5 linked regions of the Tribolium castaneum genome follow. The protein of the gene in region 3 purifies or fractionates together with the protein of the main gene of each other region. This does not show direct contact. Links are inferred from orthologs where the notes say so. Each region holds a gene or a part of one and is shown on either strand. Other genes may lie near its edges. The genes, in order: crn, cyp33, pea, NKAP family protein CG6066 and nudC domain-containing protein 1.

What was found.
Region 1: the proteins of pea (region 3) and crn purify together in Homo sapiens (affinity purification with mass spectrometry; 3 studies listed by BioGRID and IntAct, counting the BioPlex papers as one, with this or other methods). This does not show direct contact. The link is inferred for Tribolium castaneum from reciprocal best matches to the Homo sapiens genes DHX8 and CRNKL1.
Region 2: the proteins of pea (region 3) and cyp33 purify together in Homo sapiens (affinity purification with mass spectrometry; 3 studies listed by BioGRID and IntAct, counting the BioPlex papers as one, with this or other methods). This does not show direct contact. The link is inferred for Tribolium castaneum from reciprocal best matches to the Homo sapiens genes DHX8 and PPIE.
Region 4: the proteins of pea (region 3) and NKAP family protein CG6066 purify together in Homo sapiens (co-immunoprecipitation; 3 studies listed by BioGRID and IntAct, with this or other methods). This does not show direct contact. The link is inferred for Tribolium castaneum from reciprocal best matches to the Homo sapiens genes DHX8 and NKAP.
Region 5: the proteins of pea (region 3) and nudC domain-containing protein 1 purify together in Homo sapiens (affinity purification with mass spectrometry; 3 studies listed by BioGRID and IntAct, counting the BioPlex papers as one, with this or other methods). This does not show direct contact. The link is inferred for Tribolium castaneum from reciprocal best matches to the Homo sapiens genes DHX8 and NUDCD1.

Annotation. Positions count from the first base shown.
Region 1 is NC_087400.1:96,375-100,341, reverse strand, and holds crn (protein crooked neck), read left to right. Parts: upstream 1-1,254; 5' UTR 1,255-1,352; coding exon 1,353-1,391; intron 1,392-1,445; coding exon 1,446-3,422; 3' UTR 3,423-3,450; downstream 3,451-3,967. Other genes in the region: Nle (notchless), read left to right, coding at 1-1,048; protein OPI10 homolog, read right to left, coding at 3,664-3,967. UniProt on the Homo sapiens protein: Involved in pre-mRNA splicing process. As a component of the minor spliceosome, involved in the splicing of U12-type introns in pre-mRNAs.
Region 2 is NC_087394.1:24,073,907-24,078,222, reverse strand, and holds cyp33 (peptidyl-prolyl cis-trans isomerase E), read left to right. Parts: upstream 1-1,503; coding exon 1,504-1,707; intron 1,708-1,754; coding exon 1,755-1,934; intron 1,935-1,983; coding exon 1,984-2,190; intron 2,191-3,533; coding exon 3,534-3,851; 3' UTR 3,852-3,913; downstream 3,914-4,316. Other genes in the region: palmitoyltransferase ZDHHC8, read right to left, coding at 1-49, 193-387, 456-628, 680-837, 882-1,000, 1,060-1,151. UniProt on the Homo sapiens protein: Involved in pre-mRNA splicing as component of the spliceosome. Combines RNA-binding and PPIase activities.
Region 3 is NC_087395.1:23,611,238-23,613,603, forward strand, and holds the end of pea (ATP-dependent RNA helicase DHX8), read right to left. Parts: coding exon 1,892-2,366; intron 1,590-1,891; coding exon 1,084-1,589; intron 765-1,083; coding exon 542-764; 3' UTR 509-541; downstream 1-508. Other genes in the region: rswl (mitochondrial ribonuclease P protein 1 homolog), read left to right, coding at 1-500.
Region 4 is NC_087400.1:4,954,131-4,957,189, forward strand, and holds NKAP family protein CG6066, read right to left. Parts: upstream 1,561-3,059; 5' UTR 1,469-1,560; coding exon 569-1,468; 3' UTR 516-568; downstream 1-515. Other genes in the region: waprin-Rha1, read right to left, coding at 1,664-1,806, 1,854-2,079. UniProt on the Homo sapiens protein: Acts as a transcriptional repressor. Plays a role as a transcriptional corepressor of the Notch-mediated signaling required for T-cell development. Also involved in the TNF and IL-1 induced NF-kappa-B activation.
Region 5 is NC_087394.1:22,049,163-22,053,320, reverse strand, and holds the start of nudC domain-containing protein 1, read right to left. Parts: upstream 2,818-4,158; coding exon 1,390-2,817; intron 1-1,389. Other genes in the region: protein IMPACT-B, read left to right, coding at 2,974-3,215, 3,273-3,506, 3,561-3,758.

The sequences.
Region 1 (3,967 bases), on a different chromosome or scaffold from region 3:
AGCGAGTGGTTCTGGCGATACAACCGTTCGGTTCTGGGACGTGGACACCCAGACACCTTTTAAGACATGTAAAGGGCACACGAACTGGGTGTTGTGCATTGCGTGGGCCCCCAATGGGCGTAAACTAGCTTCGGCGTGTAAAGACGGCAAGGTGGTGGTATGGAACCCCGAAAATGGGGCCCAGATTGGTAAAACTCTAATTGGGCATAAATCATGGGTCACGGCCCTGAGTTGGGAACCCTACCACCAAAACGCCGAGTGTCGCTTTCTAGCCTCGGCGAGTAAAGATTGTGACGTCAGGATTTGGGATACGGTCCTGTGTTCTTGTACTAGGGTTATTTCTGGGCATTTGAAAAGTGTGACTGTGGTCAAGTGGGGCGGTCTGGGGCTCCTTTATACGGCTTCGCAGGACCGGACTGTTAAAGTTTGGAGGGCTAAAGACGGTGTGTTGTGTCGTACGTTAGAAGGGCACGGTCATTGGGTCAACACTTTGGCCCTCAACACTGATTATATCCTCAAATTGGGGGCGTTTGACCCAGTCAAAGACACCCAAATCCAATCACAAGACTTCGTCCTGCGTCGTTACAACGAAATCGTTAACCCTATCGGTGATGAAAGACTCGTCTCGGGCTCCGATGATTTCACTTTGTTTTTGTGGGCCCCCTCAAAAGACAAGAAGCCGTTAAATCGGCTCACGGGGCACCAACAATTAGTTAACGATGTGAAATTTTCACCAGATGGTCGCATTTTTGCCTCGGCTTCGTTTGATAAGAGTATTAAATTATGGGAGGCCAAAAGTGGTAAATTTATTTGTACGTTAAGGGGGCACGTACAGGCTGTTTATGTGATTTCGTTTTCGGCCGATTCTAGACTTTTAGTGAGTGGAAGTGCCGATTCAACACTCAAATTGTGGAATTTGAGGGAGAAGAAATTGGAAATTGATCTGCCAGGTCATGGGGATGAGGTCTATGCGCTTGATTGGGCCTCAGATGGCTCCAAAGTGGCCTCGGGGGGTAAAGACAAAGTCTTAAAGTTGTGGCAAAATTAAATGCAATAAAATTTTGTAATTTTTCTCGAATTTTATTTAAAAAAAAAACAGAAAACTGTAATTGTGCGCGACATGTGGCGTCACCAGTGCAAATCTACAAATCCAATAATACAAAAACTGGCTTGCGGAGTTTAATTACTTACGTAAATTATTGTTTAATCTATATTACAACAAACAAACACTCGATCAAAATTTAAGGCACGATATTTCACAATTTGTGTGGTCCAAACATAACCACAAAAAATCGTAAGGTTATGTTCGTGTTTGTTTGTTGTGCTACAAGTTGGTAAAAGTCGCCCCTGAGATGGAAACCAAGCCGCAAAAGATGCCCAAAGTGGCCAAGGTACGTTATTTACCTTCTCTTTCAACTTAATAACTAACTAAAATAATTTTCCAGGTGAAAAATAAAGCCCCTGCTGAGATCCAAATCACAGCCGAGCAGCTCCTTCGCGAGGCAAAAGAGCGCGACCTTGAGATTCTCCCTCCGCCCCCTAAGCAAAAAATCTCCGATCCAGCTGAACTTGCCGACTACCAACTCAGACGCCGTAAACAATTCGAAGACAACATACGAAAAAATCGAACTGTTATCTCCAATTGGATTAAATATGCCCATTGGGAAGAATCGCAAAAGGAAATCCAACGAGCTCGTTCGATATTTGAACGTGCCTTGGATGTGGACCATCGTAACGTTACCATTTGGTTAAAATACACTGAAATGGAGATGCGAAACCGTCAAGTGAACCATGCTAGAAATTTATGGGACAGAGCCGTCACGATTTTGCCCAGAATCAACCAGTTTTGGTACAAATACACCTACATGGAGGAGATGTTGGAGAATGTGGCTGGGGCCAGAGCTGTCTTTGAACGCTGGATGGAGTGGCAGCCGGAGGAACAAGCCTGGCAAACGTACATCAATTTTGAGTTAAGATACAAAGAAATCGACCGTGCGCGAGAAATCTACGAACGCTTTGTTATAACACATCCCGAAGTCAAACACTGGATTAAATACGCCCGATTTGAAGAAAATCACGGTTTTATCAACTCGGCCCGCTTGATTTACGAACGAGCTGTACATTTTTACGGTGATGACCATTTGGACGAAAAATTGTATATTGCATTTGCACGGTTTGAAGAAAACCAAAAAGAACATGACCGTGCTCGCGTTATCTACAAGTATGCCTTGGACCATCTCCCCAAAGAACAAGCGAAAGAGCTGTACAAAGCCTACACCATACATGAGAAAAAGTACGGCGATCGTTCCGGTATTGAAGATGTGATTGTTTCGAAACGTAAGTTTCAATACGAACAAGAGATACTCGAAAATCCGACCAATTACGACGCTTGGTTTGACTATTTGAGACTGGTGGAGGGGGAAGGGGACCTTGAGACGTCACGTGAGACGTATGAGCGGGCCATAGCCAACGTGCCACCAACGAAAAATAAACAATACTGGAGGCGTTATATTTACTTGTGGATTAATTACGCCCTGTTTGAGGAAATCGAAGCGGTTGATTATGAAAGAACACGTCAGGTTTATAAAGCTTGCCTTGACTTGATCCCCCATAAGTTATTCACGTTTAGTAAAATTTGGTTGTTGTTTGCACAGTTTGAAATCAGGCGGAAGAATCTGATTGGTGCTCGTAAAATTTTGGGGACTGCCATTGGTAAATGCCCACGTGATAAATTGTTCCGTGGGTATATTGATATAGAGATACAGTTGCGTGAGTTTGACCGGTGTCGTATTTTGTACGGGAAATATCTAGAGTTTGGTCCGGAAAATTGTGTGACTTGGATGAAATTTGCCGAGTTGGAGACACTTTTGGGGGATTTTGAGCGTGCTAGGGCCATTTATGAGTTGGCAATCGCTCAGCCAAGGCTAGACATGCCTGAGCTGCTCTGGAAGGCCTATATCGATTTTGAGATCGGGCAAGAAGAGTGGGCTAATGCCCGACAATTGTACGAAAGATTGTTGGAGAGGACAAGTCATGTGAAAGTTTGGTTGTCGTATGCGAAGTTTGAGTTGAGTTGTGAGTCGGATATGAATATTAGTTTGGCAAGGCGTGTTTATGAGCGGGCTAATGAGAGTTTGAAGAGTTATGGGGAGAAGGAGGCGAGGGTTTTGTTATTGGAGAATTGGAAGGAGTTTGAAAGTGCAAATGGGAGCGAGGAGACGAAGGAGAAAGTTGAAGGGAAAATGCCAAGGAGGATTAAGAAGAGAAGGAAGGTTATTGATGAGGATGGTGTTGAGCAAGGATGGGAGGAGATCTTTGATTATATATTCCCTGAGGATGAGGCCAGTAAACCCAATTTGAAGTTATTGGCAGCTGCCAAAAGCTGGAAGAAGCAGAAGCAAACGGAAGAACCGGAACCGTGATTTTGAGAAAATAGAATTAAGGTTTAAATTTTGTTTTATTCCCCTTTTGTCACTTATCCAAGCGCTATCTGGTCAACGATTTTGCACTGCAACAATTAATTTTTTGTGGGCAAATGATAAGATAATAAAAAAATCGATACTTTATTCATTTAAATACATTAAAAGCGAGTGAGTTTTGAGACTTAACAGCCGCCATAATCCAGCTTTGATGAACACAAGACACACGTATGCACACATTCCTCTACGTTTTCCAAAAATTGGGGTTTTGTTGCAACCGTCGTTCAAAATTCGTGTACCAGTTCTGTACTGTAGCCAACGGAACGTACGTGGCCGTGGGATCTGGGACCATTTGCGGTTGCGTCACCGTATAACTCAGCACAAAATTCATAAAATTCTCCAACATTTTCTGAGCAAACGTGACATTATTACTGGGATTATTCGCCGATTCGATTTCCCGAATATTCGCCAGCGGCTCAATAGCGATCCCTATTTGCGCATTGTGTACGATGTGACTTTGCCCGAATAAAATATTCATCGAGTCGCCC
Region 2 (4,316 bases), on a different chromosome or scaffold from region 3:
ATGGGGGCAGTGCTTGCGCTTCACGTTGTACTTGTGGGGCTTTATGAGACTGAAACATGAATCGTTTGACAGATTTGACAAAATAAATTAATTGGTCGTTGACAGATTATCTCAAAATTCCACAGCATGCTTTGCTAAAAAACTGTTTTCCAATTTTCGGGGGATTAACAGCTGATTAAATAGTGTTATCACCTTGGGAATTGGGGCCCAAACTGCGTGTAGCAGCAGTTGTCCCAGCAGCCCCTCGAGAAGGGGTTGTAACCGCCCTTAAATTTCCCCGTGACTTGTTCATTGGTGGTCCTTCCTCTCGAGACCAAAACCATATGAAACCCTGTTAAGCCAAAAATTGGTATAGCTAACAAAGCCACCAAACCCATTAAGACAAAACTGGGAAAAATTAAGGTAAAATTAGCTAGAATGTTGAAAATTCGTAACAAAAAAATCGAAAAGGATACGCAATAATTGGTTCAGCGTTGGAGAAAGTATCACCATATTTGAGGATGTAAATTAGGCTTAAAGTAAATATACTGATCATGTGTAAGCTAAGTGAGATGAGAAAGAAAAAGAAAAATCGGTAATTTCTTCTCCCAATGCAATTATTGACCCATGGACAGTGGTGGTCAAAAGTCTGTAAAAAATCGGGGATTTACCAATTTTTTCAACCAATTCCACAACTCACTTCTATACAGTGGTTACAAACACTACAATGTGAACATCTCGGTGGTCTGTAGAACTTGCACGTGACGCACCATTTCATCCGCACCGTAATCCCGTTGATCTCCACGTTCTTGTACAAGGGGGCCCTGAAATCGTCCTCGCGGTCTTCATCAGGAGGGGCTAAAAACCAGCTCAATTAGCGCTACAAGGGGGTTGTTACGCACCTTTTGGTATGACCCCCGGGTCCATGAACGTAGCGAGGGTGAAATTGGCGAGGACGAAGAACGTGATCACTCCTTGGTACGCGGGCACCCATGGATAATCCTCTAAGTAGTATCGGGCTCTAACAAGCGTAACGTTTGCCTAAATTTGGTAACATAAACACTGACAGGAATAACTCACGGGTAGTAGAAGAACAACGTTGTGGCTACCAACAGTAAAGTCCAAGCAAAAGTCGCTGGTATGTATCTAGTTTTAACATCGCACTTGGGCATAATGTTTTTTTACTCAAGATCTCGCGCAAAACTCGAATTTTCGCCTCAGACAGGCCAACATGGCTGAGACAAACGGGAGAAGTTATCGTTCGTTGCCCCTGTCAAACTCATCTGACACTTGACAAAATCGGGGGAAAAGAAATTCCCCAAGTCGCACACTTTTATATCGATTTTTCACATTAATTACTTGAATTGAAACGGACGGCAGTGCTCAAGTAGTAATTAAAATGCCATTAATTTACGTTTTTACGTAAAAATCCAATGATGGTTAAACACTTGATAGTTGCGCAGGCGCGTTAAGGGTGTCAAAGGTTTCGCACAAAAGTGAGGTTGTGTCAATGTTTTTTGAAAAATGAGCACCGGTTCCAAACGCACTATTTACGTCGGGGGGCTCGCCGAAGAAGTCGACGATAAAGTCCTGAACGCGGCTTTTATCCCCTTTGGTGACATTGTCGACATTCAGATCCCTCTGGACTATGAGACGGAAAAGCACAGGGGGTTCGCTTTCATCGAGTTTGAGAGTGCGGAAGACGCGGCTGCAGCAATCGACAATATGGTAACACCAAAGTTAAATAATGGACAATTTTTAAATATCAGTTTTAGAATGATTCTGAGCTTTTTGGTAGAACCATCAGAGTCAATTTAGCCAAACCACAGCGAATTAAAGAGGGTTCGACACGGCCTGTTTGGTCTGAAGACACCTGGCTTCAGCAGCACGCAGGCGAGACAATCGGCAAGACTATTAATGATCCTGATGATGGAACTAAAGAGGCAACAGATAACGTAAAAATTTCTCTTGATTTTTTGATTTTTTTGAGCAATTTTTTCCCAGGATGCTGACAAAAGTGACAGCAAAAAAGTCAAAAACCCTCAAGTTTACTTCGACATTAAGATTGGCAAGACTGAAGTCGGTAGAATAACAATGCTGTTGAGGGCTGATGTGGTCCCCAGAACTGCAGAAAATTTTAGGTGTTTATGCACCCATGAAAAGGGTTACGGTTTTCAGGGCTCCACTTTCCATAGAATAATTCCAGACTTTGTATCCTTTTTACCCAAAGAAAAATTATATTGTCAACAAGCCCCATAACTTGTTTATCATAAGAAATATTCACTTTTTCTTTTTTTTCTGGATTATAACTGTGTTTCTGCTACAGATGTTAAAAATATTGCGGTATATTTTAAGATTTCCCAATATTAAAAAAAAAAACTAGTTATGTTTTTTTCAAATAGAACACTTTAAATTTTATTACAGTTTTGGACGTAATCGATTCTGTTTAGTTTTTGAAATAATTTGTTTTTTTCAGTTTTTCAAACTTAAATCTGTATCAACTGTTTAACGCATTGCAATTAGGAACGTAGAAAAATTAAGAAGTTTGTTAAAAGTTGGATAACCTGGAAAAGTTAAATAGAACACCCTATTTTTTGTTTTTGCTTCTTAAAGGTCATTAAATTGTCTAAAAACATAAAGTTTCAAATGCCTAAAGTTAATAACTAAAAATCTATTTTACTTTAAAAATTAATTTCAGCAGCAGTACACATTATTTATGAGCATTGTCGTTACCAGGACTAGGGGTGGGCGATATTAAGATTTAAATATCAATAATCGATACATACCGATATATCGATACACCGATACATATCGAAGATTGGCGAAATATCGATATATTATATTGAAGTATCGATATTTACGATAGAGCGATAAAAACATGGGTATTTATAGATAAATGATAGTACCTAATAAATGTTACTGTTAAATTTAAAAAAGTTGAAATGGTGAAATACTTGTTTTTTTTGTTAAATTTATGTTTAAATTATACAGAAATCATAAAGTTTTGTACTAATGCTAATATTTTTGCAAAAAATGTTCTAACCCGTCGATTTTAAATCGCCGTCTTTTTTGGGTAGGCAATCCTCAACTGTTTTTGGTTTTGATTACATTTTTCAGTTCTCTATTTAACAATTGTACAAAAAATTAAATCTTGTACGATAATTTTTTTTGAGAAGATCTAATTTTTTACGTTTAACTAAAGTTAAACGATAATAACGAAATTTGTCGGAATATTGATAATAAATTATCGATAGTTATCGGCATGTGGTGTATCGACAGTTTTAGATAATTATCGATATGTCTATATATATTGATATATCGATCTTTTTATCGATATATCGGTAAAAATTCCTAGCCCTAACCCTGACTACCTCAATATTTTCAAAATATGCAGCAGAAACGCAGCTGTAAGCTAAAAAAGGAAAAATCAATATGTCTAATAATAAAAAAATTTTGGAGCCTTTTCGGCTCGCTGGGACCTGTTTATTAAAGAGGGCTACGGCTGTGAAATTAAGTTGCCAACATTACTTGCTAAATTCCTTAATGACGGTTAGATGTGTCAAGGTGGCGATTTTACCAACCACAATGGTACAGGAGGAAAATCAATTTATGGTCGGAAATTTGTTGATGAAAATTTTGAATTGAAACACGTGGGTCCAGGGACTTTATCAATGGCCAATTCGGGACCAAATACCAATGGGTCGCAATTTTTTATTTGCACGGCAAAAACGGATTGGTTGGATGGAAAACACGTGGTTTTTGGGCATGTTATAAGTGGGATGGACGTTGTGAGAAGGATGGAAAGGTGTGGGACCAAGAGTGGGACGCCCACGGAGAAAGTAGTAATAGCAGCGTGTGGAGAAATACAATAAAAAATATTTAAGAATTTTTGATTTTATGTAATGAAAATAATAAAGAACTTACTAAACGTAAATTGTATTTTTATTTACCCAGGAATGTTTTAGGCACTAGTTTTTCGTATTTTAAAAGAGCACAAAAAAAGATTTAAATACTTTAAATAAAATAACAAGAAAATATTTAAATTACCTTTTTAATGTTTGCTACATTACCGACAGCCATATTGCCAAATTAAACTTGTGCAAAAGAATTTGTCTTTATTTATTTACTTTGCCACAAAGATTACATGAAAAGAATAAATGAAACACCTCGCTTTATTCACAAAATAGGTTACAAAAATTGGTATTATTGTGCAAGTTATAAACCTGACGATAAATTATTGAGTTGGCAACTTTGGGTTCTTCAAGTTTGAGGATTGAGGTTACGTTTATCATTGATAGGTTATGTTTGACCGCAGCATGTTTTTATTTTGTTGAATA
Region 3 (2,366 bases):
GTAATATTGCAACGTTGCACGAACCTTGGTTCCCCCTCAACGTGCACGAAACCAGTTATTTGGAAAAATTCCCGAGGGAACAGTTGGTTTATTTAACCCCTCATTGCCGGGAAGAACTGGTGAAGTATGACCATGACGCCATCTACATTATCGGCGCAATTGTCGACAAGGTCAACACTCAGCCCTTATCCCTGGCCAAGGCCAAGCGTGAGGGGCTGAGAATGGCCAAACTGCCCCTTGACCGCTACCTCCAATGGGGCTCCGGTTCGGGCAAAAGCCTCACTTTAAATCAATGTGTGGCAATTTTGTTGGACGTTAAGCACACCGGCGACTGGGAATACGCTCTGAGGCACGTCCCCAGACGGAAAATCATCCAAATGACCGACCAAAAAGAACAGAAATCCTTCAAAAGCAGGTTCTGGAAGCCAGGCAAGAAACTGGATTTATCCAGGAAGGATAGGAGAGTAGAAGTTAGGAGTATCATGTATGATGAAAATTAAACACAGTAGATTATTAATTTTTTATTTACACCTAACTATGCCTAATTACGCCGCCTCCTAACTCGCGATATTCGCCAAGCGTTCGGTTCCTCGTATTTGTTGTAAAGTGGCTCCAAACGTTGGTTTTTCTTAAATTTGCTCAGTTTTGTCGGATCTGAGAATTTGAAGAAAGCGGGGGCGAACTCCACGAGCCATTTTGGGTCGATTGTGGTCACTTCGCGCATGTATTCCTTCGTGGTCTGCACCAGTTCGTGGTAGATCACCCTTGAAAACGCACATAGACAAAAAATTATAAAAAATAAAACCACTCGGTTTTTCGCGAAACTAAGCCGAAAGTAATGTCCTTTTAGCCTCTTCAAAAGTTTTATTAGGTTTTTACAGCCCTAAACGCGAGCTTTTATCAAAAATAACTAAAATAATTTCAAAAAAGGTGTTATTTAATTGTTTCAGTAATGAAACTGTCAAAAATGAATTTCTTTTTGCTTTTTTCAAGCAGTTGCATACTTTTTTCAAGAAGAAACTTAATTATCTCCATTATTTTTGAGAAAAACAACCCCAAATAAATAATCTCTTTAAAGCTTACCACTCTGGTTGTCTGTTGAAGAGGGCGCTCGAGGGGTGTATATAAACCACTTGGCTATCCACCAGCGTCCTGTACCCCTCCTGTGGATCCTTTTTCGCTGCATTCCTGAAAAATCCCGAACACACACACTTCTGCACCCTCACTGTATTTCTTTCAGCCGATACGACATCCAACTTGTGCCTATCCATAATCCCTAACAATTGTTTACGAACATCTTGTGCCCGTTTTAACGTCCTTATTTGTACGAAATTTTCGTAACACCACGCATTCGAAAATTTATTATTTTTCCAACTGTTATAAACGGCCAAAAGTGTCAAGTGGTCGCCTTCTGGTTGGTTAAATTTGGCCTTTTTCTGATCGGCGATCGCTTGCTTGTCCTTGGGACGATAAAAGACATTTTGAACCGACAACATGCTCACAATTGTCAAAATCTCGTCGGAACATTGAAGGGCCACGGACATAATCAGCATTTTTGATAGGTTGGGTTCCAGAGGAAACTCAGCCATCTGTTGAAATTTTGTTATGAATTAAAAATTGACGTATTGACTGGCTAGCGAGGGGGCAGTGTACTGAATATGCAATTTATTTCTAAAAATATAAATAAGAATCCAAAAAAAGTGACACAAAGAAATACACAATTTGCGAATAATAATCTAGAAGGTCATATGAACTTATCTTATAAATTTAAGTGAAAGTGATTGAGGTACAATGATTATAATGTGAAAATTAAAAATAAAATTGAATCGTACAGTATTGCCCCCACGGTAGCTAGGAAAAACCAAACGTGTTTTTCCCCCAAATCACTTACCCTCCGCCCTAATCGCGTAAGAAGCCCCTCATCATCCAACGCCGACAACGAGTGCAACTGCTCTAAGGCCATAATCAGCGATTCAACAGGCGGAGCGTCCATAAAATCAAAATGTAGCAAATCATTAATCCCCATTGTTTTCAACTGTAAGACAGTCGTTGCCAAATTGGTCCTTTGTATCTCCGGAACAGGAGTGGGCAGCATCTCATCACGATACGCCCTCTCCGTGTACAACCTATAGCATTTCCCAGGCCCCGTCCGCCCGGCACGCCCCGCCCTTTGCTTGGCTTGTGCCTGCGAAATGGGCGTGACCACCAACGAGTCCATCCCAGTTTTAGAATTATAAACTTTCTGTTTGACAAAACCGGGATCGACAACGTAAAAAATCCCATCAATGGTCAACGAAGTCTCTGCTATATTTGTCGCGATGACAACTTTCCGGCTTCCGGGGGGCGCCGGTTCAAAAATCCGGGTT
Region 4 (3,059 bases), on a different chromosome or scaffold from region 3:
ACTTTTGACTACGTTAGAAGCCTAAAAGACAACAGACAGGTTCTTCTAATTGATGTGAGGAACCCGTCGGAATTAGCGCAAACTGGAACAATTCCTGGAAGCATCAATATACCTTGTAAATACCCTAATTAACTTATGAATTAACTGCAAAGTACTTCATTTCAAGTGGCCACTTTAGAAGAAACGCTGCAGAACACAAGTGATGAACAATTTCGTCAAGTTTTCCGAAGAGAAAAGCCTACAAACACCACGCCTTTAGTTTTCAGTTGTCAGTCGGGGCGGCGGAGCCGAGCTGCGCTAGATTTAGCCAAAAATCTGGGATACGTAAAGTAAAACATTCGTTTTGTTCCGTCTTTAATTAAAGTCGCCTGTGATTTTTAAATTTAGTTGGCAACTAGATGTTGCCAACTTAATTCGAAATCATAGGCCACTTTGACCCGAAATTTAAGTTCAATTTTCAGCGCCAAACATTTCCCTGGGGGATGGACCGGTTGGGTACAACAATGTAAAACAAATTAAGTAATAAAAAAACTTTATTTATACGTAATAAACACTCAATTCTACGAAATTAATTTTTCTTTTCGGCCAGTTTGGAGTTGACCATTTCCCTGAACTGTCCCAAAATCCTGTTCTCCCTCTTCTGCCGTTCTTCTTTGCTGAACATGGCCAAAGCCCGCTTCTCATCAGCTGAATAAATCTGGTTTTCTTTCCGTATCCTCACAGCCTCCATTCTCCTGTGTCTTGAGCCGGACATGACATAACCCACGGCTTCAAAACTTTCAATTTCTTCAGACGTGAGTCCAATTTCACCTCTTCTTGGTATCCGTTTTCCTTCGGCGACGTACGCAGCCATGGCAGCCCCCTCACCAGGGAGCAAAGCCTTGCCCATTTCCTTGTGAGTCAGGGCGGCATGGGGCTTCAAAATGGGGCCGACGATCACCTCTTCGGTCTCTTCCGCATTGGTTTGGGGTTTGTTGGTGGTTGTGGTCTTCTCGACCCACTCTTCCTCCCCTGAACTGCTCTCACTTGAAGACTTCTTCTTTTTCTTCTTCTTTTTATGCTTCTTGTGGGATTTTTTCTTTTCCTTCTTCCGTTTTTTTAGCTTGGGGGCGTTCTTGGTGACGTCTTCGACGTCACTGTCGGAGTCTTCGGGTTCGGGGGATTGGCCCCAAATGCTGGGGTAATCCCTCATTCCGAGGATCTCACGCTCCTGGCGTCGGGACTCCATGAACTCGTCCTCAAGGTGTTTTTTCTTTGTGACTTCATATTTGTCGTTTCGTTCAAAACCGTTTGTTGTGGTGCCTCTGGATCTAGACCTGCGTCTGCTGGAATGGCGGTCTCTTGACCTGGAATGAGACCTGGACCTGTGTCTCCTATTACGATCATTTTTAAACGATCTATCAGTTTTGTGTCTCCGGTGGTCCGGGGAACGGGACCGACTGCGTCTGTGTTTTGCCACATCCATCATTTCGTAAAAAATCAATTTTTTTACAATAACATAACCTTTAAAAAAAACTGTCAAACTGAAGTCACTTTACGTCATTCCCATAAGCTAGAATTGACATTTGCTCAAACCATTTCAAATTTTAAGGAAATAAATAAAACACAAAATGCGTCGATTTGCTAATTTTTATTCATACAACGATACTACAATTGTAACTGATTAAAATTCGGGTTTGGTGCAAGCCATGGCCCCGCACCGATTCCTGCAGCACTTTTTAGCCCCCCTGCAGTCCGAGTCTAGGGCACACCTGCTGGAGCACACCCAAGGGCCTGACGGTGCAACTGGACAAGACCCTTGTTTCTCTAAAACACAAATTAATTTTCTTTAAAAAAAATTGTATCCATTTCACCTCCTCTTTGAATTCGCCTCGTTGTTACAGGGGCCGTACAAAAAGTGCCGCCACAAGCCGTCCGGCAGCATTTGAAATGGCCGGCACAGTGGTTGTCTTCGAAACAGGCCACTTCACAGATCCCCACGTTGGGGTACGGGGGGCAGTCTCCCGATTTTGTTCGAGGCCTTTGGCCGTACACAAAAACAGTTAGAAGGGAAAGGATTAAGAAAAGTTTTGCCTGCATTGTTAACACTTGTAGGGCTTTAAGATGAATGGAATTGGATGTTGTGTAGGTGCAAGAGTCGAAGAAACGGAAACCACAAAACGACAAATTGAAATTTTGATTAAGTGTGCGGATTTAGGGCGGATGTGGGGTTCCACTGCGGTTTGCGCAATTTAGTAATTGGTTGAAATCTACAAAAATAGAAAAAATGTATTAAAAATTACCCATTTTTATTATACTTGTATTAATTTACTACTGTTTTTTTCTTCAATTCCTGCTGCTAAACAAAATTAGGTCAAAAATTTTAGTTTTTTGAGCGTTTCATCGCGTTTTCAGTCAGAAAAGCGTCTGCTGTGAGTAAAGTTTTATCAGAGAAGTCACACTATTTCAATCGTTATACAGTTTCACGTTTAAGACTGTAAACAGATTGAACCAAAAGTATAACAACAAAATTCACATTTAGTTTAAAAACAAGCCACCTTAAATATCTTAGTAAAAAAAAACAAAAAAAATAAAATTTTTGAGACAGGTCAATTTTTATTTAAAAAGAAACATTTAAAAAATCTCTTATATTTATTTATATTTATATTTATATTTGATTTAGTTATTTTTTTATCTTACTCAATATAATAAAATGGTCGATTGGTAAATTTTTTCTTATTTGAATTTTTCAAAAAATTTATTAATACGTGTATTATACACGTAATCAATAACAAACAAAAATTTCGAAAAAAACAATTTTTGAAAACGCTTGGTTCTATACTTCCGCCAACGCTGTATAAAAAATGCAAGGTATGATTATAAATTATAAAACGACCGAAAAAAATTGTTTTTATTACTATATTATTTAGATAAAAAAAATTTAAATGCATATTTTTTTCTTTTTCTTTTTAACGCCATTTCTTAAAATTGTTTTTTATTCTTTGATCCACTTTAATCGTTCCTTGACTCAGAAAGCAACTCAACCTCGAACTTTTGGAAGGAAACTAGTATTGCAAACA
Region 5 (4,158 bases), on a different chromosome or scaffold from region 3:
TGATCCAGTTATGCTCAATTAAAATGCTAAGTTACCCGTTTCTGCATTTTTTTCATTTTTGAACAATAAAAGAAATATGAATTTTATACGTCACTTTATAATGATGATGTCAAAAAAAATTACGTGTTTGGTTCATCCATATTGTAAAGACTTATTAGTAGAGCTTCTGATTTTATAAGAAAAATTATACCGTTCCATTTAAAAATTCTGTGATGACGTCATGGTGCCGCCATATTGTCCGCCATGACTGATGCAGTCAGGTCAAATTTAAGCTCAATTAAAATGCTAACTTACCTGTTTTTGCATTGTCTTATTTTTTAAAATTAAAAGAATTACGAATTTTATGTGTTACTTTAAACTGACTCTGTATAAAAGAAAGACCGAAAGTGAATAACGTTCATGAAAAGGTTAAAATAAAAAACTAAATTACAATCCATATTCTAAAATCACTGTTCGATCAATTGTGCTTTTCGTTAGAAGTTTATGATATCTCAAAAAATTAAATTGTATTATAATTTTCTCTTTAGAATTAAAGCAGAGCTTTATAGACAATTTAAGAGACCATATTTACTTCACAACATTTTAAATTACTAATTAGTAACTTAGTTAAGTTACTTATACACGTATACGTATTATGTGTGATTTTTTTTATACTATATGTTATTAAAATGTATTTAATTCTTATGTGCGATTTGGTCAAGTACCAATTTATTTAACACCTTATAAAACTTCCCTGTTGTTTAGTAAAAATTTGCCTTAAAAAACTTATACACGTATCAGTCGAAACACTAAAAATTAAATAAAATACATCTATTTATTAAAAGAATTTACTTTTCAAAAGTGTTCTCAAATGCCTCATATATTTTACTAAAATTAATAAAAACATTTCTTGATTTCTTGCTCTAGTTTGATTTTGAAGATACTTTTAAGCTTAAAGTGATTGAGAAAAACAAAAGGTCATCAATGCACTACTAAATTATTAAGTTAACGTATTTAATGAAAATATGCTGGTTTTGCCAATTTAAATCTGACGACGTTTAGCTACCTTAAAAAAACATTTTTTGTAATTAGGAATATCGATTAGTAAATCTGTATTTGTTAAATTGTAGAGTTTGTTTGTATTTACCACGCTTTACAATTTTACATTAAATATGTAAATTTTGTGAAATGCTCGATAAAAAAAATTACTTTTGAAAATAATAGCCGTGAGTTTTGTACAGCTGATTAAAAACTAAAAGCCAACATTCCTGCAATTTTTTTAAACAAGTATTTTTGAGCAAGTCATAAATTTAAATTAACTTAATCAATTTGGAGCCGAGTCGGTTAAATTGGGTGATTTTCAAATTCGTTTCGCCACTTAGTTTTAGTCCTCCATATATCTTAACTCACCTGAATATAACCCAGCGCTAGCAAAGTACCCTTATGAACCAATCGAAACTCATTTTCATTAGTCGGCTGCCAGATACACGTATCAACATCACTTCGGATCCCTACAGCCAACGGCTGGTTCTCTTCCAACCCAACACTTAGCAGGACTTGATGTGACCCCAAGTTGATTTTATGGGTGACCTCATGCGAATCGCGCGAAATTCGTTCAAACACAGTCAATTTATCGCACTCAAAGTCACACTCTTCCACTTGTTGGCTGTTGAAAGTGGTCCCTGTGGGCGGCCCCATCTCGGTATCGCTCGTAAGTGGGGCCAATCTCGCCGCAATTTCGCTAACTAAAGCCGGATCTGGCAAATATTCGCCAAAAACGTAGCCACCTTCGACGATTTCTGGCCACATAAGGCCGGATTCACACTTTTGTAAAGTTAGGACGAGAGTGCTTGACTCAATGGTCCAACAGGTCACATCAGGGTCTATTTGGTGATACAATTTGCCGGTTAGGAGAGTCTCATTTTCGTATTTGACCGAGATGTGGGTTGGTTCGGTGGTTACGTGGACTAAATTTTTCTTAAAATTTTCAGGAAGTGGAAATTTAATGGTCAAATCTTCACTGGTTTGGCTCCACTTGTATTTCTTTTCAACTTGAATTTCTTCGGCTTTTTTGATTTCATTTTCCGAATCCAGGGTGAATTTGCAACCATCATCGCTGATTACGTAAACTGCGTCACAAGTGCGTTCGAAATTTGCGTACTGGACGAAGCCTTTAACTGTTAGTTCCCTCAAAGCCACTTGGTTCCACGAATCGCTTTTTTCCAAAGTTATCCAGTGCAAAATTGTTGAATTTCTCTCATTCGCTTCCCTCTGTCTTATACTGGTTAGTAATAAATGCAAATGTGGTTTTGGGGCCTCTTTAAAAACCACATCAGTTACAACAAACTTCTGATCAGGACCTGTCACGTCCCCAGAAAAGAGTATCTTCCATTTATCGTCAATGTCTCTGCAGCCCCTGTCTAATACGTAAAGATAGCCCATTCCATCTGCTACAACGGCAATCTGACTTGAGGCAAATTTCAGGGAAATATTGTAATCCCCAAAGCTCCTTTCTCTCTGTAAAGGTAGCGTCCACACGGTTGTTTTACAGAATGTGTGTGTCAATGATTCAATGCTAAATTTTTGAACGTTCAACTCTTTATCAACAAAATAAACTGATTCATTATCATTTTCGCTAATCAAATGATTGTGAAGAGCAAAGAGTTTTGCATGGAGCAACGAATACTGATTTACATCAGGCACTAATCTGTCCACTGGTACTTTTAACTGCTCGCTAATTGTGGGGATCTCGGCCAAAGACAACTTATAACCGTCAAAATCAGAGTTCAGTAATGATCGATCAGGACGCAATTCCATTAATTTCGGGTGAGACTGCATCTTGTGTAATTAAATACTGTGTGGCACTGAATTTATTATTACAAGACAATTGTTGGAATAAAAATCATAACCTCAATTCGCACTGTCAAAGTATGACTGACGTATGACAGAAATGTGTAAACATAACCTCAAAACTAAAATGTGTTTTCCAAAAAAATGGATAATTTAGCGGAACAGTGTGAGGAACTTGAAGCTTTGAAATCTATTTACGATGATAACTGGCGGCTGGAGACGGACACGAATTGTTATAGCATTCAAATTAATCCCAACGTTAAATTATTCATAACTTTGAATGATGATTATCCGTCAAGCAAGCCCCCAAGTTTTGAGTTATTGGCTCCTACATTAACGTCAGAGCAGAAGCAGCTAATTTCCGATGAATTTGGTAACATTTACGAGTATGAACAAGAAGTGTTTATGCTTCTTACAATTATTTTTGAACTATGATTTCTTAGAAGTAGCCAGGGAAGCCCTATTCTGTTTCAGTGGATTGAAAAGTTAAAGGAAATTGTGGACGAGTGTTCAGAAGTTTTAAGTGCTCCACAGCCAGAAGTTTTAAATGGCGAAGTTGAAGAGAAACAAGTCAGGAAGGAAACTTTTTTACAAGTGATACATGGGGATATTATACAAGACAGAAAAAGTGTTTTTCAGGGTCACATGGCTCGGGTTCACTCATTAGAAGAGACAAGGTATTTTACATGTCCAAATTACTGAATGATATTCTATTTAATTTTTTGTTATAGAGAATTTATGAATTTTTTACTTGATAATAAAAAAATTGCTCAAGCAACTCATAACATCTCAGCTTATAGAATTTTGACTTCTCAGGGAACCATTCTCCAAGACTGCGATGACGATGGTGAAACGCACGCCGGAGGGCGTGTTTTACATTTATTACAAATTTTGAATGTAACCAATGTGATGGTGGTTGTTTCTAGATGGTGAGTGTTTTTTTCTATGTCGTTTGAGTCGAATGGGGTGCGTTGGTAACAATAATAACTCATAATCCTAGCTCATAATGTATTTTTTTCTATAGCAGATGTCTGTGTGCTTTATTCTACTGAAAATAATTATTCATTTAGTTTTTTAACCGCAAAGTGAAGTTTCTTAATGGGTAAAGTTGTTCAATAGCAATGAAGTTTGTTTTTTTGTTAATTCTGCTGTCGAAAAAATAAACTTATTACGTTACATCTTCGATAATCGACAAATCTACATTTAATGTGCTCTTCGCAGTTTGTATAAGTTTTTTCACTCTCATACAAAAGCTTTTAATTCAAATGTTTGAGAAAAGTACTAGCTGTATCAAATCTATAAAAACGCCAACGTCGCATTTTACCGAAT